Linked DNA regions of Macaca mulatta. The protein of the gene in region 3 interacts with the protein of the main gene of each other region in a pairwise test. Links are inferred from orthologs where the notes say so. Each region holds a gene or a part of one and is shown on either strand. Other genes may lie near its edges.

Region 1 (7,321 bases), on a different chromosome or scaffold from region 3:
CTGCAATTAATACATATAACTTATAAAGGTAGAAAGTTATCCAATGAAAATAGTCTTCTTTCCAAAATAAACCTGCTGCAAGTGCTCCAGCACCTGGAAGTTCATGGCAGCAACGTGTTGGTCCTGAAACCAGATGGCTGGTCCGAAACCCACTAGTTCACGTGGAGTTCTGTGCTCTGAGACAAATGTCTTCATTAGCTTTTAAGTATTACTGTCATTAACATTCATTCAGTGATTTCCAGATGCCAGGCATTGTGCTTGTCTCTCTGGGTCACCTCAACACATATGTTGTGACAATTACCATGCATTAAGGGCTTATATATGCATGATCACTTAGGGTTGTTGGAAGTATTAAATGCAATTATGTGTTTATAAACACTGGGCATTTTATTATCTGCCTTCTGGGTTAGTTCATGTTAATAGCATTAAACACCAGTTCATCAAAAAGAAAAAAAAAAAAGTTTAGCACAACTTTTGGGCATGCTACTGTGTTCCATCATGCATTTTTTTCCCTGCAAATTCTGGAGCTCTAACAGGTGGCCTCACAACAAGCTCTAATCAAAAAACCAAGGGCTTGCAACCTCATGTTCTGCAAGGCTTGCTTGGCCAACAGGAGGGTCTGCCTAACTGCTCTGTATAATGTTCTGCTGAATTTACTCATTTAAAGTAATCATGTCTACTTTGTGTTTCCAATAGCATGTTCTGGTCATTTTGCGGGAACACAGACTGGTAGGCCCACCCCAAGACTACCTCAATAAGAAAACCTTAAGACTTCAAGCAGCAAATAGGTAAAATAGTCATGAAAATTGGGCACAAACACAACTGAACTTTTTATCTGGGCTTTTGTCCCATTGAGCAGCAGATGTTTTTAGGAGCTGATAAAAGGAAAACAGGATGCTTTCATGGCAAGAAGAGTAATTCAGTAGTTTTCCTGTTGCCTCAAGAATGCTCCTGTAATTTGGAGAGAATTTTAGGAAGTGGCACTCAACAAGGTAAATCAGCCACCCCAAGGACTGAAGACAGCACACCACGCGTCCTTTTCCCAGAAGGCTCGGCCTGCTTGGCAGCCTAGCTGAGAGCACAAGGGCCCCACATGTATTTCCCCAGATGAAGCAACTAGTTAGACACAGAACCAACTCAAGCCATACTGTCTCATAAAAAAAGATTGATTCGATCAGGACATTTCCCCCTCCTTCCTTCTTAAAGAAAGTCTTGGCTTAAAATATTTAATTTTTTTTTTCCTATGAGTCTTTAAACGGAATTGTGAATAGCAGCAATCCTCGTAACTCTGATGTGGGCAGAGAACACTCAAAATAGTAGATAGCAGATGCCAGGCCCCCTCAGAATTGCTCATGCCTATTTATATAGATGCTGCCTTCCAATTTTTTCTCAGATCTTCCAAGTTCGATCACAGCCATGACAAAGTAATGACTCATACTTAAATGCAGTCATCAATGTCATATTTGGTATTAATACCTTTGTAGCATTGCTTTTTGTCAGAGCATCTAAGAGGAAAAAGTCCCCAAGAGCAGGAGCAGCCTGCCACCGTCCTCAGGGACCACAAAGGGCAGGGCCTGCAGAAGGCAATGCTCATTGTGCAGGAAAGCCTGCGGCCTCCGGCAAGCTGTTCTGATAAGCAGCTGTGGGAGGGAGGGGGAGGAGGGCCGAGGGAGGGGGAGGGGAGGCAGAGGTCACTGTTATCGCCTTGGAAGGCAAGACTTCAGCTGCTGCACTGATGTCTTTTCTCAAGTATGCTCCTGTTTTGCAAGTTTAAAATCTTCCTAAAAGGAGAAAAGTAGGAGCCAGGCTCAAGTTCTACCCTAGCACTGGGCAGCATGCCCTCCCTCTGCCAGCGCGGAGGAGCCTGTCATTCTTGCCCGACAGGAAGACGGAACAGGTGCCATCAGTTCCACGGAGTTCCAGCAATCCTCTGAAACCCTGCGCACCACCTCCCCCGACACAAAGATCCCCTACCCTCAATAAAGAGCATAAGTTTGTTTCAAAAAGTTTATTGTAAAATTCAAAGCTTCAACAGCAGCATCCTTTAGAAAACGAAGCATTGCCCGGATCCGTTTTGAAAAAGCAGCGCAGTTGGCTAAGTCCTTCACGCTCCTGCAACTGTACCAAGTCCAGGGCGCCGCTCCTTCCTGCCGAGCGCAGGCTGCTGAGTCACGCCTGCCCGGCCAGTCTGTCCTTCCTGGCCCTGAGGCCAACGTCCTAGCCTAGGCCTTCCTGGGCGAGCAGCCGCTCCAGACACTTGCAGAGTCCTCAGCTCGGGCCAGCCTGGCCCTGCCGCCGCCGGGCCCCTCCTCGAGAGGCCGCGCCTCCTCACTCTCCAGGCGCCCCCCCCGCCTGCCAGTCTCCACGCCGCACTCGGGCACCCTCGGAGGGCCCCTCCACAGAGCCAGCCGCGCTCTAGGCGCCCCGGGGCGTCACCACGTCGATCAGACCAAGGTCCCCGCCGGGCTGTCACTCGGGGAGGGTGATGCTGGGCACCCAGTCGTTAACGCTGCGGCTCTCCTCGCAAAACAGGCTGAGCTTCTCCAAGGCGGGATCCTTCCAGGCGTCCTCGTTGGGGTTCTGCTGAGAAAGAGCAGGGTCAGCCTGGCTGGCCGCGGGCCGAGGCGGGAACTACACCGGGGCGGGGACCGGACGGGGCTGTACTCACCGAAATGAGGATGCAGTGCAGGTCGCCCGGCGCGCCCGCCTCCTCGCCGGCGCCCACGATAGCCGCCAGCCGCTGCACATCGCCCACGCGCACTATGTCGATGTCGTTCTCGCAGCAGAAAGCCTGGATCAGCGTAAAATGGATCTGCAGCGCGATGTCGCCCTCGTCCTCCTCATCGGCAGCCAGCACGCAGAAGGTCACATTGTCGGGGTCCCTGCGAGGGCAAGACGGGGACCAAGGTCAGAACCGGCAAACCAAGTTCTCCCGCAGCCACCCCTCCCATCCGCCGGTCTCTTCGCCATTCATCCCCGCCCCTGTCTCCCAGCCTGGGTCGCGTCTACACTTACACGTTCAGGACTTTGGCTGACTCGTAGACGCCGGCAGTGAGGCAGCCCTGACGCTGCGCGGACAGCAGCAACTCGTGCAGCGCTTTCCCGGCACCCTGCATCCTGCGGAGGAGCCAGCTAGTGAGCGGGAGACGGCCGTGGGGCGCGGTGGAGCCCCGAGCCCCGGCCACGGGGATTCACCCTTGGCTCTCCAACTCCAACCACACTCCAATCCCGGCTTGGCGCCCGCACCCCGGCTCTCCAACCCGGATCTGACGCCCGCACCCCCGGGCTCGGCTCCTATCCCGCGGATTCCCACCCTGGAGAACCCTGACGGTCGCCGACTGACCAGCCGCTTTCTCAGCGCCCTGAAACCCACCTGTCTGTGCTTTCCGGAACTGTGTCCTGGCCGCGGACTTCTTCCAGAGTCATAGTGCGATCAAACAACAGCAAGTTATCCACAAGCGGAGAGCGCGGAGGGGACGCGGGCGAACACCCTGAGACCAAGAGCTCAGCACGGCGCGCCCACCACCAGCGAGTGCGCCCGGGCTACGCTGCGCGTCCTTATATAGGCGGATGGGTGCGGCGCCGCCAGCTGGCGCGAGGCTGCCCGCCTATTGGCCGGCACCCGCTTTCTGATGTAAATGAGACCGCGAGCCCGCGGCTCGTGCCAGAAGGCCACGTGGGGAGGGGTGCGGGGGATGACAATGCCTCAAATCTGCCGCTTTTGTTGGGGTGTTACCAGGCAGACTGGAGCCTGCAGATTTCATCTCGCCTGGCTTTCTTTTTTTTTTTTTTTTTTTTTTTGAAGTCCTTAAAAGGAAAAAGTAAAAAAAAAAAAAGCCAATCCACAAAAACCTTGTTTGCTAATATGATGCTGCAATTTGCGAAAAGCACCTTTATAGAATCAAAAGGAATTTTATTTCCATTTTTTATTGCTACCTTTCTATTTGTTTCTTTTCTTTAATTTGAAGTTTATGAGACTGTTGCATTGGAGCAGGAAATTAAGGTAAAAACAGGTAACGCCAGTTAAAGGCTTGCAAAAGGCAGTGGGCACAGCCCCCTGCAGCTGACCACTAGCGTCCGGAGCGCGCTGGTAATGCCTGCCAGGCATACTCAATGTGTACATTGAGTAGTCGCTGGAAGATCCTACCCCACCTCCCCGCCCTTGGCCGAGAGCAGCGGGGCGCCGGAGAAGGGGGCGGGCAGGGGCGAGCAGATTGCGGCCGGCGCACGCCGCTCGTTTGCATTTCTATGGAGGGCGCACAATAGCAGAGGTCTGGCGTGTGGCGGTTTGCAGTAGGGACAATCGAGGCTTTCTCTTCATAGCAACACTGTCCACCTGCCGCCGGGTGGGGTGGGCAGGCCCCCGCCGCGCGTGGGGGTCGCCGGGCTGCCTGGCGCGTGGGGTCGAGGCTGAGTGCCACTCCGTGGTCCCTGAGTACGCGCCGCCTGTACTGGCCCTGCTACATGTAATTCCCTTCCACCCGTTCCTCGCACGGGTGCCGAGCAGCCGCGCGAGTTGGGAAGCACAGAGAGCTGCTGCGCAGTCTTCGCGACTGGACGCCCTCTGGCCGGGACCCCGCGGCTGCGGCCCTTGGAGCTTAGGGGATGTAGTTCGGAATCTGTTTCCCGGGGCGCCATCTACAGGCAGGTTAAAAAGATCCTGAATCCCTTTTCTCCTCCCCTCCCCCAACACACACACCCTTGCATTGGCCTGGTGCGGGGGAAGGGCGGTGGAGGGGGTCGGCCACGGAGCTGCCGGGCCGGGGCCACTGAGCCCTGTCCAAGCTGCGCATTAATAGGAACCCCAGTAAGGGCTGCAAAACGCATTCAGGTGGGGCTGCAGTTACCCTGGGGAGTAGAGGGCAAAAGGAGATTCCCATCCAGTACTGATGGAGTAAGAGCCCCTACGTCTTATGCCATGTTGAAATATTTTAATTACTTAAATACGCATATGTAAAAAGCCTTTTTTCCAGCAATAGAATAAAAGTCTGGATCTTGAGAGAGTTTAATAGGCTAGAGGTTGCTGCCGCTTGACCATACACGCTGGCACTTTCAGAGGATTCACCCACTGACCGCAGCACTTTTGGTGTCTGCGCCTTCTGTTCTACGTGGAAAGGCGCGCTGGGGACACCTCAGTGCTCCCCTTTTTTGGGTGAGGCCTTGGAGACTGGCCGGGACAGTGGCGGGCCGGGTGGATTGGATGGAAACCCGGGCCCTGCCGCAAGACTGGGGCGATAATGGGAAAGTAAACAACGCCGAAGCTTTCTTTGTTCCTTTCATTCAGGCTTTCTTCACGTGGGTGGTGAATGTACAAGGTACTTCTGAACTTGCTATGGGGAAGTTTTCATTCTGCGCTTACAGGCAGGCGCTTCTGCCAAAGTGAGAAGCTGGCGTCTTGCGCCCCCCAGCGGCTTCCCGGCAGAGGAGAGCTGCAAAAGCCCGGCCGATCCTGGATTCTAAGAATGAAGAACTTGCTCTCCTAGCATTTCTGAACTCCAGAGGTGTCTCCTAAGGACGTGGGCATAGGGGGAAGCGGGGCCAGGAGGCATTATGCCCCGTTTGTTCGCTAGTTTCTTTTCTTTCTTTCTTGGTGTATAAAATGATGATATGCCTTGATTGGATAAAATACGTTAATTTTAAGTGATTGGAACATAGGTATTACTCTTCTAAAACTATTAAACTTTTCTCTTCTTTTCTTTTCTTTTTTCTTTTCTTTTCTTTTCTAAGACGGAGTCTCGCTCTGTCGCCCAGGCAGAGTGCAGTGAGCCGATCTCAGCTCACTGCCACCTCCGCCTCCCGGGTTCAAGCGATTCTCCTGCCTCGACCTCCCGAGTAGCTGGGACTACAGGTGTGCCACCACGCCGGGTTAATTTTTGTATTTTTAGTAGAGACGGGGTTTCACCATGTTGGCCAGGCTGGTCTCAAACTCCTGACCTCGTCATCCACCCACCTCGGCCTCCCAAAGTGCTGGGATAACCGATATGAGCAACTGCACCCGGCCTACTATTAAACATTTTTTTAATGTATTAGTTACAGGTCTCCAGGAAATGCTGGAAATAAAATTTACTTAACATGCTAGCACTCCACCCCTCCAATGTATAACACTAAAATCTGCCCACATGCCAGGCCAGAGAAAACAAAGGCTAGGCCTGAAGCCTCAGCCCCTCCTCCCGGAGGAAGGCCACTACTGAATACTCCCGACTTTGGATCAGGGGCGGGTGCGTTTCCAGTCCCTGCTGAGCTAGCCCGGACCAGGAGGGATGACTGACAACCCCTGGGGCTGTTCTACTCTGCTCACATTTTTAAAGTATTCAATTTCAGGAAACTGCCTTTTTGACACATGATACAGCACCGCTTTGCTTTATTAGGTCAGTCCCAATGGCCCCAAAGCCTCCATCTCAATTAGGGAAGAACCATTTTGTCTGCAGGCAAAGTTGGCCTTCCAGCAGACCCACCACCATGTGTCTTCAGTTCAGTCACATGCTCAAAGCTTCTGGGCCCGGGATGCCCCTGTGTTGAGGAGTGGGCAGTGCCCACTAGAAGAAGTGTGAGGATCCAGAATGTCCCACTACACGGCTTTGTGGCCACAGCTCTCCCAGGGGACTTAGCCTGCTCTGTGCTTCAGGTCACAGGTGGCTGAGATGTTGCCCTGAGCTTCCTGTGACTGCACCCCTAAACCTTCCCCTAAATCTCAATAATGCAGGTGATGGTGACTTACTTAAAGGGAAATCCTCAGAGATGCTCTATTTTAAAACCTTTTTGGAAATGTTTATAGTTGAACTGTTTTTATTAACACATTCTCTGAAATGTGCTTCTCATTCTTTCATGGCTTGACTAGGTCATTGATGGGCAGATGTCTTTCATCTGGGTACAGAAGGAAATGAGCTTTAAGTAAGCAGTACGCTTTAGGAGACATTCTTTGTTGCATTCTCACACGTTACTTATGTGTGGAGAGTGCACAACATCGTTATTAAATAGTAGGTGTATGCCCTTATCCTACCCAAGCAATGTGCCCAAAGCCACTACTGTCCAGCCAGAGGCTGTGGGATGCAAGCTGCTGGCTGCACACCAGCCCCATGCAGGCTGCAGGTGGGATTTCTTTGGCCTATGAGGTGTCTTAGGCAAAGTCAGATTCACTACCACTTTTCAAAGTTAGCTGCATTCATATAAACATCTGGATTTCTAGCTTCTCCTGGAAAATGGGTGGATTTGGCCATGATGTACCTAGAATTCGCTCCCCACCTTGGTAATCTTCAGCAGGGATCGGGGGCACTGGGATCCCGCAATGGGCACTGCTCTCCCATTCACCACAATCCCCACC
Region 2 (8,092 bases), on a different chromosome or scaffold from region 3:
TCAAAAGGCAAAAAGCAGAACTACTAGAAGGGTCTAACAAAGATTACATGCCTCTGAGGGAACAGGACAAAGGGCAAAAGTAGAACCACTGATAAGGGTCTATGTTCAGCGTGCACATATTGTCTTGATAAACATCTTAAATAACAGAGAACATTGTTCGAGAGCAGAGAACCGGTCTGACCACAAATTTACCAGGGCAGAGATTTTCCCCACCCTAGTAAGCCTGAGGGTACTACAAGAGACCAGTGCATATTTCAGTCCTTATCTCAACCACATAAGACAGACATTCCCAGAGTTGGACGTTTACAGACCTCCCCCCAGGAAGACATTCCTTTCCCAGGGTATTAATATTAATATTCCTTGCTATGAAAAGAATTTAGTGATATCTCTCCTACTTGCACATCCGTTTATAGGCTCTCTGCAAAAAGAAAAATGAAGCTCTTTTTGCCCAACCCCGCAGGCAGTCAGACGTTATGGTTGTCTTCCCTTGTTCTCCAAAAATAGCTGTTATTCTGTTCTTTTTCAAGGTGCACTGATTTCATATTGTTCAAACACACATGTTTTACAATCAATTTGTATAGTTAACACAATTATCACAGTGGTCCTGAGGTGACATACATCCTCAGTTTATGAAGATAACAGGATTAAGAGATTAAAGACAGGCATAAAAAATTATAAAAGTATATTCGGGAACTGATAAATGTCCATATTAAAGTGATCACAATTTATGTACCTCTGCCGTGGCTCCAGCTGGTCCCTCTGTTCAGGGTCCCTGACTTCCCGCAACATGCTTCCATCATGACAGCCCGATCCTTCTGCCTGTGTTCCACCCATCACAACTATGACCACTCTGATCTGGGCTTCCTTATCCCGCTCGCTATGCTGAGGGCTCTGCCATCACAGCCCCTGTCACTGCCTATGACTTTCCCAGGCACGGCCCTGACCCTTCTGGGTACTGTCTCATGATTTGTCATTTTTCCCTTGGTGTGAGGACAGGGTTCAGTTCTATCTTAGTGACATGCCTTGTAGCAGCAACACAGGGCATGACACTGAATCAAAGCCTAGAGGCTGTTGGGCAGGTGAGTGCCTCTCTCCTGTTCCTTCTGCATCTTCCACACTGACACCCCTCAGCAGGCCTATATCCCTCTGTCTCTACCTTTCTCTGCCCATGTCCTATCCCTTTGCCTCTTGTCACTGTTCTTCTGTCTCACTTTCTCTCTCTCCCAGTCCATGTGTGTCTCTGTGTCTCTGCCCATTCCTGTCACTTTTTGTTTCTCTCAAGGTCTGGTGTATTTCAGTGTGTGACCCTCAGTGTCACCCATCAGTGACCCTCATCCCCCCTGCATGCTCACAGACCTTACTGAGTCCCATTTGTCCCCTCAGGACCCAACCAACGGTTACTACAAGGTCCGAGGAGTCAGTGTGAGCCTGAGCCTTGGCGAAGCCCCTGGAGGAGGCCTCTTCCTGCCACCACCCTCCCCCATTGGGCCCCCAGGGGCCCCCACCTTCTATGACTTCAACCCACACCTGGGCATGGTACCCCCCTGCAGACTTTACAGAACCCAGGCAGGCTACCTCACCACACCCCACCCTCGAGCTTTCACCAGCTACATCAAACCCGCATCTTTTGGGCCCCCAGATCTGGCCCCCGGGACTCCCCCTTTCCCATATGCTGTTTTCCCCACACCTAGCCACCCGCGTCTCCAGACTCATGTGTGACATCTCTCCAGTGGAAGAGTCCTGGGATCTCCAACTTTCCATAATGGATTGTCCTGATTTCTGAGGAGTCAGGATAAGTTGGCGACCTTACTCCTCCAAAATTGAACACTAGGGGAGGGAAAGATCATTACATTTGTCAGGAGTATTTGTATACAGTCAGCTCAGTCAAAGGGGATGCCCCAAGTGGGAGCAACATGGCCACCCAATAGGCCCACCTATGTCCCAGTGTAAAAGAGATTCAAGATGGCAGGTAGGCCCTTTGAGGAGAGAGGGGGACAGGGCAGTGGGTGCTGGGAGTTTGGGGCTGGGATGGAAGTTGTTTCTAGCCACTGAAAGAAGATATTTCAAGATGACCATCTGCATTGAGAAGAAAGGTAGCATAGGATAGATGAAAATGAAGAGCATACCAGGCCCCACTGTGGCTCTCCCTGAGGGAAACTTCGCTCGGCCAATGGAAATGCAGCCAAGATGGCCGTGTACTCCCTAGGAACCCAAAATGACCACCATCTTGATTTCACTTTCCCTAAAGACTCAGAAAGACTTGGACCCAAGGAGTGGGCATATGGTGAGAATTAGCACTGTTGGGGCAAAAGGGAATCTTGGGATAAAAATATTTATGTTTAATAATTAAAAAAAAGTCAAAGAGGCAAGTGTGTCTTAGGGAGTCTACTGGCATTATTACCCTCCATCAAGGAAGGGGTCCATTAGACCTGTCCCAAGGTCTCTCCTCTACCCTAGCCTATAAGGTGGCTGTAGAAGCAAAACTGTGAGCCACCTCTCAGCCTCTTGCTACCTGCAAAGCACTCTAGACTCTTTATTTATTTTTTTTTTCTTGAGACAAGGTCTGGCTCTATGGCCCAGGCTGGAGTGCAGTGGCACCATCTCAGCTCACTGCTACATCTGCATCCTGGGCTCAAGCCATCCTTCCACCTCAGCCTCCCAAGTAGCTGGGACTACAGGTGCACACCACCACACCCAGCTAATTTTTGTATTTGTTTGTAGAGACAGGATTTCATCCTGTTGGCCAGGCTGGTCTCAAACTCCTGACCTCAAGTGATACGCCTACCTAGGCCTCCCAAAGTGCTGGTATTACAGGCGTGAGCCATTGTGCCCAGTCATGGACTCTTTTAATATACATCTTCATACACACACGCACACACACACACACACACACACACGAGTTGCAAACAGAAAAGACACACACATTGGCATGTATGCACAGACACACGCATAGATGTCCACACAGTTGCACACATGTGACAGGGCTGCCCCAGGGGTCCTGGGAAAGACAGAGTTCTACACTCTCATTAGAGGAGACAAACGAGTGAGCCCTGAAGTGGGACAGAGAAGGAGACTATGGGCATGAAAATGGCAATCCCCTGGTCCTTACAGCAAGGGTGGAGATCCAGACCCTAATCCTGGGGCGCTGCATCCACAGTGGGCATAGTGCTGGTGCCTGCTTGGGTGATCCTTAAAGAAAGGTCCCGGGGGCTTTGGTTCATGGATCCTTGAGCTAGGAGTTAAAGATCCAGGCCCCTGGGACCCTTGGGAAGCAGAGCAGGAAGACTGAACTCCTGGTTCTGAGGGAGAATGGGCTGGGGGCTTGGTCTCTGGTCCTGAGAGAGAAGGTGCCCGGACTTCTGGATCTGAAAGAGGAGGGGACTGGGTCTCAACTGCTGCCATCTTGACGGGACATTTTGGAGGCCTGTATTCCTGAGCCCTCAACAGAGGAATTTACTAGGGGACGGGGGTCTCTGATGCTTGCATCCTTGGAGAAGGACAAAACTGTGAGTGTCTGGGTCTAAAGAGGGTGAGAGTCCTGCGGGAGGACTCAAAATCCACAACGGGCTGAGCCCATAGCAGGACTCCTGGCTGGGCCCTTCATGGGGCGGGACGCCTGGAATCTCCAGGGGCGGGGGCCTGGCGCAGGCTCCCGCCCGGGGTTCCAGAGCTGCTCCACTCTGCGCGGAGCCGCCACGCTATTGTCCTGGCCAGGAAGGCGGGGCCGGCGCGGGGCGTGGCTGGCGGCGCCGGCGCAGCCCGGGGGCGGCGGGAGGAGGAGGTGGCGGCGGTGGCGCTGGGAGCTCCTGTCACCGCTGGGGCCGGGCCGGGCGGGAGTGCAGGGGACGTGAGGGCTCAAGGGCCGGGACATGGGGCCAGCCAGCCCCGCTGCTCGCGGTCTAAGTCGCCGCCCGGGCCAGCCGCCGCTGCCGCTGCTGCTGCCACTATTGCTGCTGCTTCTGCGCGCGCAGCCCGCCATCGGGAGCCTGGCCGGTGGGAGCCCCGGCGCGGCCGAGGTGAGGCCGGGCCGGGTCCTGGGGGATGGGGGAAGGGGCGGGACCGGGTCTTTGGACGCCAGCGCGGACATGTACAGGACAGAAAGCGCGGTCTTTCCAGCCAGGTGGTCAGCCCCCAGGCGCCCCCAACCGCATTTATGAACCCAGGGTTCCAGGCCCCAGCTCCCCCATCCTCCGACGTCCCAGCCCCCTCCCACCCCGAGCATAGGAACTGGTCTATTCAGAGCCCCTGGTCCCAGAAGTCCAGCCCCCTCTCCAGACCCAGGTGACTAGGTCCCAACCCCCTCCCTCCTGGACATAGGACCCACCAAGCAGCGAGGCACTTAGATCCAATAATCCAGACCCCTTGTATTCTCTGGACCCATATGGAGGCCCTTGCAGCCTCCCAGGACCCAGGAGTCCGGTCCTTCAGTCACCACCCACCCCAACCAGATGTAGCTCTCCAGTCCTCAAGGACCTGGTGTCCAGGACTGTAGGCCCCTGAAGCCAGGCCTTATCAGCTTTGCACCCTGCAACCGGAGCCTGAGCAAGGGATGGAGGGAGGAGGGGCCAGAACGCCTGGGTTCAGGCCTCCTCCGCGATTCAGGTTTAACCCCTTCGGGCTCCAGAGCGGCTGAGCTGGGGTCGGGGCGGAGTCTGTCTCCGCGGCAACAAGGCAGAAAGAATCCCGGGGGACCCGGGTCGCCATAGCAACGGGAGAGCTAGGGCGCCCCCGCCCTACGGGAGCTGTTTCCCAGGGAACGGTGCCTCCATGGAGGCGGTGTGCACAACGGTGCTTGGGGGAGGGGGCTGGTGCTGGGGGTCTCGGTCCTAGGGAGCAAAGAACCAGGGGACCCTCATGCCAACGCCCCCCGGGCCCTCATTATCCCCTCCACTTCCATCCAGGCCCAGGGGTCGGCCCAGGTGGCTGGACTATGCGGGCGCCTAACCCTTCACCGGGACCTGCGCACCGGCCGCTGGGAACCAGACCCACAGCGCTCTCGACGCTGTCTCCGGGACCCGCAGCGCGTGCTGGAGTACTGCAGACAGGTGGGCGGGGCCGAGCGGGAGGGGCGGGGCCAGCGGGAAAGCGGGCCCCAAACGAGGCGGGGCCGCCCGTAGAAAGCTACACTTGAAAAAGGCGTGGTCCAAGGTGCCGCGGGATCTAAGACGTGGAAGCTAGCGGACGTGGCCAATAAAGAGGCGCAACTATGCTAGGGCAGGGGACCTGTTTTGAGATACTAAGTCAGGAAAGGGGGAGAACCGCGAGATAGCCAGAGAAGAAGTGGAATTTAGGAATCTGGTGGTCTTTGTAAAAAGCAGAGGTGTAGTGGGGAGTGGCGAAAGGATAGGCGGGGCTAAGACAGAAAGAGACCTTAAGGACCAGCGAGATGGGGAAAGGGGTGGCGCCCAATGAAAGCGCGGAGAGCTGGGGGGCGTGGCCACGAAAAGACAAGTCTGTAATGGGAAGGGAGAGCTTTGGAGAGGCGAAATAGAGGAAAAGGCAGGGCTAAAAGGAGGGTGAGACCTTTGGGGAGACGAATCTGACTGCGGGGAGGGGTGACCAGAGAGGTGGGCTTAGAGGGACCTTCAGAAAGAAACAGCACAGGAAAAAAGATAGCCTTGAAAACGGACCTGGCCGGGCGCAGTGGCTCACGCCTGTCATCGCAGCACTTGGGGAGGCGGAGGCGGACGGATCACCTGAGGTCAGAAGTTCGAGACCAGCCTGGCCAACATGGCGAAACCCTGTCTTTACTAAAAATACAAAAATTAGCCGGGCATGGTGGTGCGTGCCTGTAATCCCAACTACTCGGGAGGCTGAGACAGGAGAATAGCTTGAACCTGGGAGGAGGAAGTTGCAGTGAGCCGAGATTGTACCATTGCACTCCAGCCTGGGCGACAAGAGCAAATCTCCGAAAGAGAGAAAGAGAGAAAGACAGAGAGAGAGAGAGAAAGGAGGGAGGGAGGGAAGAAAGGGGACCTGACTACTGGAGAGGGGTGGCTGGCAGAGGCGGGGCTGTGGGCTGATTGCCCCCATTTAACCCCCCCAGATGTACCCGGAGCTGCAGATCGCACGTGTAGAGCAGGCTACCCAGGCCATCCCCATGGAGCGCTGGTGCGGGGGTGCCCGGAGCGGCAGCTGCACCCACCCCCACCACCAGGTTGTGCCCTTCCGCTGCCTGCGTGAGTCCCAGGCGGGGAGAGGGGAACTGAGGTGGGAGTTTCCGAGGGGCAAAATTCTGAGCCCCTCTCTCGGGCCCACATTAAGGGGGTGGGTGCTTGTGTCCTAAGTGGGGCAGAGAAGCCTCTGAGGATAAAATATCTGGATTCTGAGGAGGGTGGGGTTGGTGCTGTAGGAGGGTCTCACCCTGGTGTCCCGTGCTTCCCCAGCTGGTGAATTTGTGAGCGAGGCCCTGCTGGTGCCTGAAGGCTGCCGGTTCTTGCACCAGGAGCGCATGGACCAATGCGAGAGTTCAACCCGGAGGCATCAGGAGGCACAGGAGGTCAGGACCTTGGCCCACCCGTCCCCAGCCCCCAGAACCCAGGAACCAGGACCCCAACACCCTCCTCCACCAGAACCGAGGGTCTGGGCCACCAGTATCCTCTTCCCACTTGGGATCTAAGAATTTCATCCCCCAACCCCTTCCTCCAGAACCAGGAATCCAGGCTCCCAGCCTCATCAACCCCCAACCCAGGCAGCCCAGCTCCCCATCTACCCCTCCTACCCCACAATCCTGGCATCTGGGTCCACTCTTCCTACAGGCCTGCAGCTCCCAGGGCCTCATCCTGCACGGCTCGGGCATGCTTTTACCCTGTGGCTCGGATCGGTTCCGTGGTGTGGAGTATGTGTGCTGTCCCCCTCCAGGGACCCCCGACCCATCTGGGACAGCAGTTGGGTGAGTGAGAGGGAACCCTCCATGCCCATCCCAAGGTTCCTGAGGCAGGGGATGGAAGCCTGGGAGCCTGGGCCTGGGTTCTTATTGCCTGGGTCCTCTCCTGCTCCCTCAGTGACCCCTCCGCCCGGTCCTGGCCCCCGGGGAGCAGAGTAGAGGGGGCTGAGGATGAGGAAGAGGAGGAATCCTTCCCACAGCCAGTAGACGATTACTTCGTGGAGCCTCCACAGGCTGAAGAGGAAGAAGAGGAGGAAAGGGTCCCACCCCCAAGCTCCCATACACTTGCAGTGGTCAGCAAAGGTGAGGCAGTCTCTGAACCTCTGGGGCCTCTCCACCATAGAGGGAGAAACATCTGGGGGAGTGTTGCCGGGGGCTGTTTTTGGGAGGGACCTATGAGGGAAAGGCCCAACTGAGGAGAAAAGATGAGAGTATCTTTAGATAAAACAGAGGTAGAAGAGCTAACCTGCCAAGGGAGGGGGTGGTTTGAGGGTACTTGGGAGTAGAGGGGCCATTGGGTAGGTCCTGAGGATCATTTCAGGAAAGCTTGGAAGATGGTGTAATGGATTCCTAAGCTTTGCAAGAAAAGGCTAGGCCCAGTCCAGAACTACATCTCCCATAATGCCAGGCAGCAGAGGTGGCTAAACTGGGTGCATGATGGTCTCCGGTGCACTCTAGGAAATGTGGTTCTCTAAGTAGAAAAGGCGACCTGGAGGTGGGCTGCAGACTGACCTCCTGATCCCTGGTCTTGCAGTCACTCCCACCCCGAGGCCCACAGATGGTGTGGATATTTACTTTGGCATGCCTGGGGAAATCAGTGAGCACGAGGGGTTCCTGAGGGCCAAGATGGACCTGGAGGAGCGTAGGATGCGCCAGATTAATGAGGTGATGATACCGGGGGCCCCAGGACCCCCTACAGTACAGAGCTCCCTAAATACCAGGAAACTCCTCCAGGACACATTGATACTACCTCCAAAGGCTCCCTAAGCCCCTTTGACCTTGAGCTCTCAACACCATCCCCTAAGATGACCAGAGATCCATGGCCCATCTATAATCCTACTGAGACACCACCAGATTCTATGGAAACTCTGGTCTATGATACGCTTTCACTTTACTGGTTTTTGTTGTTGTTGTTGTGATGGAGTTTCGCTCTTAACACCCAGGCTGGAGTGCAATGGTGGGATCTCGGCCCACTGCAACCTCTGC
Region 3 (7,583 bases):
AAAGGCTTGGGCACATCCAGAATGGACCAATCAGCGAGCAAGGCCAGGGTGGCGTCAAGGGGCAGCTTCGGCCAATGGGAAGGGAGAACACTTCGGAGGTTCGGAGGAAGAAAAGAAAAAAAAGCCCCACGAAACAACAATCGAATCCGTTTGGGGGCTTGGAAGGCTGGGAATGGGCGTCGTTTATGGCACGTTCCGGCACCTGCCCTCTCCTTTGAAGGATGGGGTCGCTTGCATCACTCCTGGGTAGTGGGGAGCAAACGGAGCTGAAGAGGGTCCCGGGAAAGTAGACGGGGATTGGCCGTTTACCGGGGACACTTGATTGGGTGCTTCAATTTGGGGGGTGGGTGGGACAGAGGTAGCAGCTTTGTGCTCAAGAGTGCAAGAGAATGTTGTGGTCTCTTAAACGGAGGCAGGAGTGGGCAGGGGTCCCGCATCCCCTATCACTGGCTACTGACTTAAGTGTCAACCAGCGAGTGGATCGTGGATAATCTCAAGCCAATGGATAACTTAAGCATGCCTTTTGGGCACTGAACACTGCTCAACATACTCATTTCTCTTCCCTTTCCAGAGGATGAGCAATGGTAGGGGGCCACAGGGGACCGCTGGGCAATTCATAGAAATTTATCCTTTGGCTTTTCACTTCAGTTTGATGTGTAACACTAGATACATCGCTCTATTCTGAGAATTTTCTCCCGTGAAGATACTGGGACTAGCTACCATTGAGGTCTAAACATTTTGGAACTGATTTGGAGAGTGGTGTGCTCAGAAGAGAAGGCCGTATCTGTTGGGGGGATTGCAAAAGAAAATTTGGGAGTGGTACAACTTTTGGCCCAGGGATTCCAAATGTCTTGAAAACCCCTGAAACTTTATGTAAAATGCCATACAAATGTGTGTGTGTGTGCACATTTTTCTGGAGATAGTTCATAACGTTCAGCATATTTTTAGAGGGACCTGTGACACAAAAACGAACCCACTGTGGTCTAAGAATGCTGGGGATGGGACTGAATCTCCAAGGCAGGAGGCAAGGTGCAGTAGTGGTATCATTTTGGAATTAGGTTTCCCAAATTCCTTGTTAGGAAATTGAGCTGCAGGGGCTCTTTCCATATATTTCTTGCCATCCAAAGGCAGGCCAAGTTCCTCAGAGCTGAGAAGCCCATGTGAACTGTCACATAGCAAAGCAATGCTTGAATAAACTACACTTTCAATCAATGGTGAGGAGTGGGCCCTGAGTTAGGAAGGAAAGGCAGTAGAGGTTTACTTCTGAAATCACATCTACCTTTATCTACAAAATAAGGGTAAAACCTCCTGGTCTTCTTATGAGAAAATAAGTAGAAGGTTATATGCGAGATATTGTAGACAGCAGCCTGTACAAGCCGGGAAGCTGACACACGTGAAAAAAATGGCTGTGGCTAGACTTGTGGGGACAGAACCCAGCTTTGGCACCGTCCTGGTCTTAGGATCAGTCTAGGGCAGAATCCAATTGCAGTTTGTACATCCTCTTTCTAGGTTCAGAGGTTAAAATATACAATATTTTATCATTATTAACCCTGTCTCTTCCAGTTGGCAGTTATCAATGGTGGATCATATCTGATGTGATATATTTGATTACAGACTACAGTGAATTTTCTCCACTTCGATTTAGGACCAACTACATAATCCTTGGTAAGAAAAGGAAGTCCCTGACAAGTGCAACTCGAGAAATGCAATGCTGGAGAATCCAAAGGTGTCTGACTTGAATGAAATGATTCCACTGGGGGACAATGCAACATATACTCCGGGTAAATAGATTAAAAAATGCCTTTATTTTTAAAATGTGGCTCAACTACATGCAATGTACTGAGCCAGTTTTGGAATCCACCCTGTACCAGAGTAAAAGTGGACCAAAGGAAGTGAAGTCAGGGCTCCTGGCTGTCACTCCTCCAGCAACTCAATCTACAGAGCTTTTCTTCAGCTGTTTTTTGTGACGTGTGGTGATTCGTTTTGGATTCCTCTGTATGACAGACAGGTCCGACCTTGAGGAAGACCGGTAGCCCACATCCTCTGCTTTTATGGGGTTAATGATATGGCCTGGCTTGGTGACGACCTTGGGAGTAGTCAGCTTTTGGAAAGCCCTCTGGGTGTTCCATGTGGATCCTATGGGGGTCTGGATGGTCCTTTCAAATTGCCAATGGTGGGTAAATGGATATGGAAGCACTCGTACCTGGAAAGGAAGGAGAATGATTTGGTATGAGGCAGGCCTGGGGTGCAGTTATACACTGTTCTGACAACTCTCATCAGGTACTATTTTGGTACAGGCCACGGTTCCACATGATGACTGCAACTGAAGAGACTGAGAGGTTAAGGCATCCCATCGCTCCCATCTGCTCTTAGGAGTCAAATCTGCTTGATGACATTTGGGAGTAGGGGGGCCTAAGTTGGCTCTGGATCCCCTGTTTATTCAACAATTCAGGGTCTAAAAAAACCAACCTGACACTACTTCTGTCTTTGTTTTTGTTTTCTTTTTTGAGACAGAGTCTCACTCTGTTGCCCAGGCTGGAGTGCAGTGGGGTGATCTCTGCTCACTGCAACCTCTGCCTACCAAGTAGCTGGGATTACAAGTGACACTGTCCCTATCCAGCTACAGGAGCTCCAGGGCTGTTGTCCCAGAGTGAGCTTTCCTATGTAACACTGTGACTGCAAGAATCCAGACCATTTTGTATCCCTGTGGATTTTATAACTTTTCTACCCTCTTTATGCTCTCAGTCTCCTCCTTCCCTCTCTTAGGATTGATGTTTCAAGGAACCCGAATCCTGAACTCTACCAGGCCATTACACTTAAAGTTTCATCTTTTTTGTTTGTTTGTTTTTGTTTGGGTTTTTTTTTTTTTTTTTTTTTTTTTTTTTTGAGATGGAGTCTCGCTGTCGCCCAGGCTGGAGTGCAGTGGTGTGATCTCAGCTCACTGCAAGCTCTGCCTCCTGGGTTCACGCCATTCTCCTGCCTCAGCCTCCTGAGTAGCTGGGACTACAGGTGCCTGCCACCATGCCCGGCTAATATTTTTGAATTTTTTTTTTTAGTAGAGACAGGGTTTCACCGTGTTAGCCAGGATGGTCTCGATCTCCTGACCTCATGATCCGCCCACGTCGGCCTCCCAAAGTGCTGGGATTACAGGCGTGAGCCACCACACCCGGCCCACTTGGCTTCATCTTCTTTTGGCACCACAGAATGTAGAGCTGGAAGGCCCTAGATATTGGCAATGGTCATCTCTGGCCTGAAAATTTGGCTTAGAGGGAGGAAATGATGGAGCTAAGTAAATGAGGAGCAGCATTGGAGAACAGAACCCAAAGCTCCTGTTTCCTTGCCTGGTATTCCTCCACCACATTTCTACCTTCAGACATTTAAATAATCTTTCAACACTTCCGCAATGGCCAAAGGAGGAAGACACGTAAGCAGAAAATGGGGATGTAAAAATCAGTAGTCTTTGGCAGGGCACGGTGGCTCACACCTGTAATCCCCGCACTTTGGGAGACCGAGGCAGGCAGATCACTTGAGGTCAGGAGTTCAAGACCAGCCTGTCTAACATGCTGAAACCCCGTCTCTACTAATACAAAAATAAGCTGGGCGTAGTGGCGCATGCCTGTAATCCCAGCTACTCAGGAGGTTGAGACAGGAGAATAGCTTGAACCTGGGAGGTGGAGGTTGCAGTGAGCTGGGATCATGCCACTGCATTCCAGCCTGGGTGACAGAGTGAGACTCCATCTGAAAACAAAACAAAAACAAAAAAAGCAAATCAGTAGTCTCTGGAAACATTCAGTGGAATACTCAAGAGAAGCTAAGCACTATCTGGTGGTCCTGGTAGTAGCGAAGGAAACAAATTCTCTTTAAGTTAAGGGAATGTCTTATTTGGGTTGACGGCTACATCTGTGCTTGTCAACCAGGGCAACAGAAAAAGAGAACACCTGGACAAAGAGAACACCTGGACAAAGTATTCAGTCTCAGAAGTCCCCCCTAGGCACCTTGAAGCACTTTATTCTACTGCATGTTGGAACCTGCAGTAACTTATTAAAAAGATGAAAATCAGGGGAGATTCCTAGAAAACTATTTGTCAGTTTGCCATGACTGCATTAAAAAAACAAATAGACCCCTGGAAGGGAAGGGTCGTCTTTATTGAGCTCTATACTCTACCCATCACCTGGAATCCTGGCCCACTGAAGCACCCTTTCCCCCCTTCCCTTATCGTGTAACTGCCTATTTTCTAGTTATATAGCCTTAATTGGGACTGCAGTAGTTACGTTTCAGTTTCTGCAGTGATTGGTTCACAAAATAAGATAAAAAAGAATGTTACTGAAATGTATATCTTCTTACCTCTGTTCTGTAGCCATTAGTTCCTTATTCCTTCAGAGGGAAAAATGTAACTCATTTCAATATACTGGCTGGGGACAGATGTCAGAATTGAAGGGAACATAAAGGTCATCTAGTCCAATCTCATTCTTGAGTCCCCTTTACATGTACTCATACTCCCAGAGCAGCCTTGAATTCTGTATCTCCTCTAACTTCTACTTTATGTGACTTCATACAGTAACCTTCGATATACTTGAACACCGTAATCACGCTCAAATTTTCTTCTCTTGTAAACATCCCCAGCTCGTTATCATGTGACACAACTTACAATCTTCTCATTCTCCTGAACAAGTACCGGTTTGTCTTCATTTTTCTTAAGCTACAGCTCAAACCTTATAGCCTCTGTTTGAGCATTACCTTGACTCTAAACTTTTTTCCTGGCTAGTAATTAAAACAGCATAGTCTATCTGAGATGATAAATGTAACAGCCATTCAGCAAAAACAATAGATTTGATTCTGTGGTCAAGATCACACGTCCCTCTTGACTACAGATCACTAGAATACTCCTCTCAAGCAAGAAAGTCAGGCAGCTAAAGAACTCTCTAAGTTCTCACCTGATGAGCCGCTGTGTGGATGTTGCGCTTCTCATTAATAATCACATTTGGCAAATTCTTATCTTTTCTTGGAGGACCCTCAGGGGCTTTAATGAGAAACCTGGAAAGCAAAACAACAGGACATCTGACTAGGAGCATTAAGGACTTAGTCAAAAGGGTAGGGAGGACACCGAAGGGCGATGGGGGAGAACCTAGTGCCCTTTTGACAGACTTTCTTCCGCATTCTTACCGGCGTCTTTTCTTGGCACTGGGCTTTAGGCCCACACCACCCCACTCGCCCCAGCCAGGTAGCGTCAGGTCCACGTCCTTTGGCTTACTAGCCTCCACGGCTTCCCTCTTCTCTTTCAAGAAATCTCTGATGACATCATCCCCAGCAAAAGCTTCCTTTATCATCTGCCTTTGGTTTCTCTCCTCTTCATCTTCCTGGGGAGAAACAAGCGAGAGCTACAGCTTGGCTTATGAGCTGTGGTTCATGGCGAGAACGGTTGAATTTTGGGTCGTGACATTTTAGCGCCCCCTAGAGGGAAGTGCTGAACAATGATGGTCTTGAGATACAAACTAGTGCGCAGCCAATCATGCTCCAGTTTTCTTCCCTCTAGGGTAAGTATCTCTAGCTCATTATCATATGACACAATTTTAAACTTTTGAGTAACGAAGCTGCAGGGTGGAGGAAAGAATGGCCCGTGTTAGCAGCAGGAGCTCTAAGTGGCCAGACTGTAGGCTTCGTCTAGCTTATATCCCTTAAAAGACAGGTGCCAGGATGCTTCAGTGAGTTTCAGATTAACTGGGGAGTCTTAGACCATTTGAGATCCCACTGAATAAAACTTTGGCAACAGTTCAATGACTCACCTTCGAGTTGTCCTGCCTGGGATCTGGTCAGAACTCTGAGTTACTCCCTCTTTCCTCTGAGAGCAGTATTAGAGTCACCCCAGAGGAGTTTTGGTGGATCAGGGTTTCGGAAATAGGGGTCTTGACAGCACCCATAGATCTGCATCTATTAAAACATCACTGTTTTAGGACCAGCCTGGCCCTATACTATTCTGGACTTCTCAATTACTGAAATGTGCCCGCAGCGAAACAAAGCTTCATTACTCCTTGTGCAAGGACACTTTCTGAACAATGGCCCACCACCCTGGCTCTGCTCACCAGCTCCTCTATTGTGGGAACTGCCAAAGACTTCACGGAGGGAGACTGTGTGGTTAGGAGGTTCTGTAGGTCGATCATTTGCTCCTTCTTTTTCTTCTTAGGGGCATCAGGGCGATTATTTGGGGTCCTCTCTGACTGCTGCCCTTCTAACACAGGTCTGGAAAGCTCCTTATTTTGAAAACATTCTTCTTTTCCCAGCTCTTCTAGTTCTTCCAGCGTCTGTACTCTCTCTGGCCTCTGTAGCAACAGGGGCTCCTCTTCTTCTGTGGCAGGTTCCTCTCTCTGGACCTGGGGAATAGTCCCCTCTGAACTTGCTTTTTGCTTCCTGGACTGATCATTTTCCTTCAATTTCTGAGATAGTACTCTCAATTCAGACAGCACTTCCTGGCTGCTGGAATCTGGGGGAAAAAGAATGAAAGCTGTCAGAAAAGGCCGGGCGCGGTGGCTCACGCCTGTAATCCCAGCACTTTGGGAGGCCGAGGCAGGCAGATCACAAGGTCAGGAGATCGAGACCACGGTGAAACCCTGTCTCTACTAAAAATACAAAAAATTAGCTGGGCATGGTGGCGGGCGCCTGTAGTCCCTGCTACTCAGGAGGCTGAGGCAGGAGAATGGCATAAACCTGGGAGGCGGAGCTTGCAGTGAGCCGAGATCGCGCCACTGCACTCCAGCCTGGGCAACAGAGCGAGACTCCGTCTCAAAAAAAAAAAAAAAAAAAAAAAAAAAAAAAAAAAAGAAAGCTGTGTCAGGAAAAGGAGGTATGTACGTTGTCTGGTTGGTAAGCATTTGTTGAGCACCCACCAAGTGCTAGGTACCACATAAGACATTCTAACGAGGACAAACAGGGAAAAGAAGATTCTGTACATTGAATCTCCTAGAGAGTACACTAATCATAGCAGGCAACGGAGTTTGGTAATTAAAAGTAGCATGTGGCCAGGCGCGGTGGCTCATGCCTGTAATCCCAGCACTTTGGGAAGCCGAGGCGGGCAGATCATGAGGTCAGGAGATCGAGACCTGGCTAACACGGTGAAACCCTGTCTCTACTAAAAATACAAAAAATTATCCAGGCATGGTGGCATGTGCCTGTAGTCTAGCTACTTGGGAGGCTAAGGCAGGAGAATCACTTGAACCAGGTAGGCGGAGGTTGCAGTGAACTGAGATTGCGCCACTGCACTCCAGCCTGGGTGACAGAGCAAGACTCTGTCTCAAAAAAAAAAAAAAAAAAAAAAAAACGGAGCATGTGCGATGTTGGATATGGTGGCTCACGCCTGTAATGCCAGCATTTTGGGAGGCCGAGTGGGGAGGACTGCTTGAGCCCAGGAGTTCGAGACCAGCCTAAGCAACATAGTGAGAACTCATCTCTACCACCTCCACTCCCCCAACAACAAAAAATTTCCAGGCATGGCAGTGTGCATCTGTAGTTCCAGCTACTTGGGAGGCTAAGCTGGGAGGATCGCTGGAGCCAGAAAGTCAAGGCTGCAGGGAGCTGTGACTGTGCCGCTG

Evidence for each region. The genes of interacting proteins can lie anywhere in the genome.
Region 1: the proteins of UTP14A (region 3) and GADD45G interact in binary tests that used the Homo sapiens proteins (3 or more experiments, as listed by UniProt). The link is inferred for Macaca mulatta from reciprocal best matches to the Homo sapiens genes UTP14A and GADD45G.
Region 2: the proteins of UTP14A (region 3) and APLP1 interact in a two-hybrid assay, tested with the Homo sapiens proteins (2 studies listed by BioGRID and IntAct). The link is inferred for Macaca mulatta from reciprocal best matches to the Homo sapiens genes UTP14A and APLP1.

Annotation. Positions count from the first base shown.
Region 1 is NC_133420.1:120,270,131-120,277,451, reverse strand, and holds GADD45G (growth arrest and DNA damage-inducible protein GADD45 gamma), read right to left. Parts: upstream 3,531-7,321; 5' UTR 3,427-3,530; coding exon 3,374-3,426; intron 3,118-3,373; coding exon 3,016-3,117; intron 2,883-3,015; coding exon 2,669-2,882; intron 2,581-2,668; coding exon 2,470-2,580; 3' UTR 1,987-2,469; downstream 1-1,986. UniProt on the Homo sapiens protein: Involved in the regulation of growth and apoptosis. Mediates activation of stress-responsive MTK1/MEKK4 MAPKKK.
Region 2 is NC_133424.1:47,112,420-47,120,511, forward strand, and holds the start of APLP1 (amyloid beta precursor like protein 1), read left to right. Parts: upstream 1-3,806; 5' UTR 3,807-3,869; coding exon 3,870-4,016; coding exon of another isoform or gene 4,017-4,063; intron 4,064-4,845; coding exon of another isoform or gene 4,846-4,901; coding exon 4,902-5,045; exon of another isoform or gene 5,046-5,089; intron 5,090-5,935; exon of another isoform or gene 5,936-6,046; coding exon 6,047-6,179; intron 6,180-6,386; coding exon 6,387-6,499; intron 6,500-6,758; coding exon 6,759-6,892; intron 6,893-7,004; coding exon 7,005-7,189; intron 7,190-7,640; coding exon 7,641-7,771; intron 7,772-8,092. Other genes in the region: KIRREL2 (kin of IRRE-like protein 2), read left to right, coding at 1,384-1,719. UniProt on the Homo sapiens protein: May play a role in postsynaptic function. The C-terminal gamma-secretase processed fragment, ALID1, activates transcription activation through APBB1 (Fe65) binding. Couples to JIP signal transduction through C-terminal binding.
Region 3 is NC_133426.1:136,379,847-136,387,429, reverse strand, and holds the end of UTP14A (U3 small nucleolar RNA-associated protein 14 homolog A), read right to left. Parts: intron 6,479-7,583; coding exon 6,081-6,478; intron 5,358-6,080; coding exon 5,164-5,357; intron 5,035-5,163; coding exon 4,935-5,034; intron 2,204-4,934; coding exon 1,931-2,203; 3' UTR 1,787-1,930; downstream 1-1,786. UniProt on the Homo sapiens protein: May be required for ribosome biogenesis.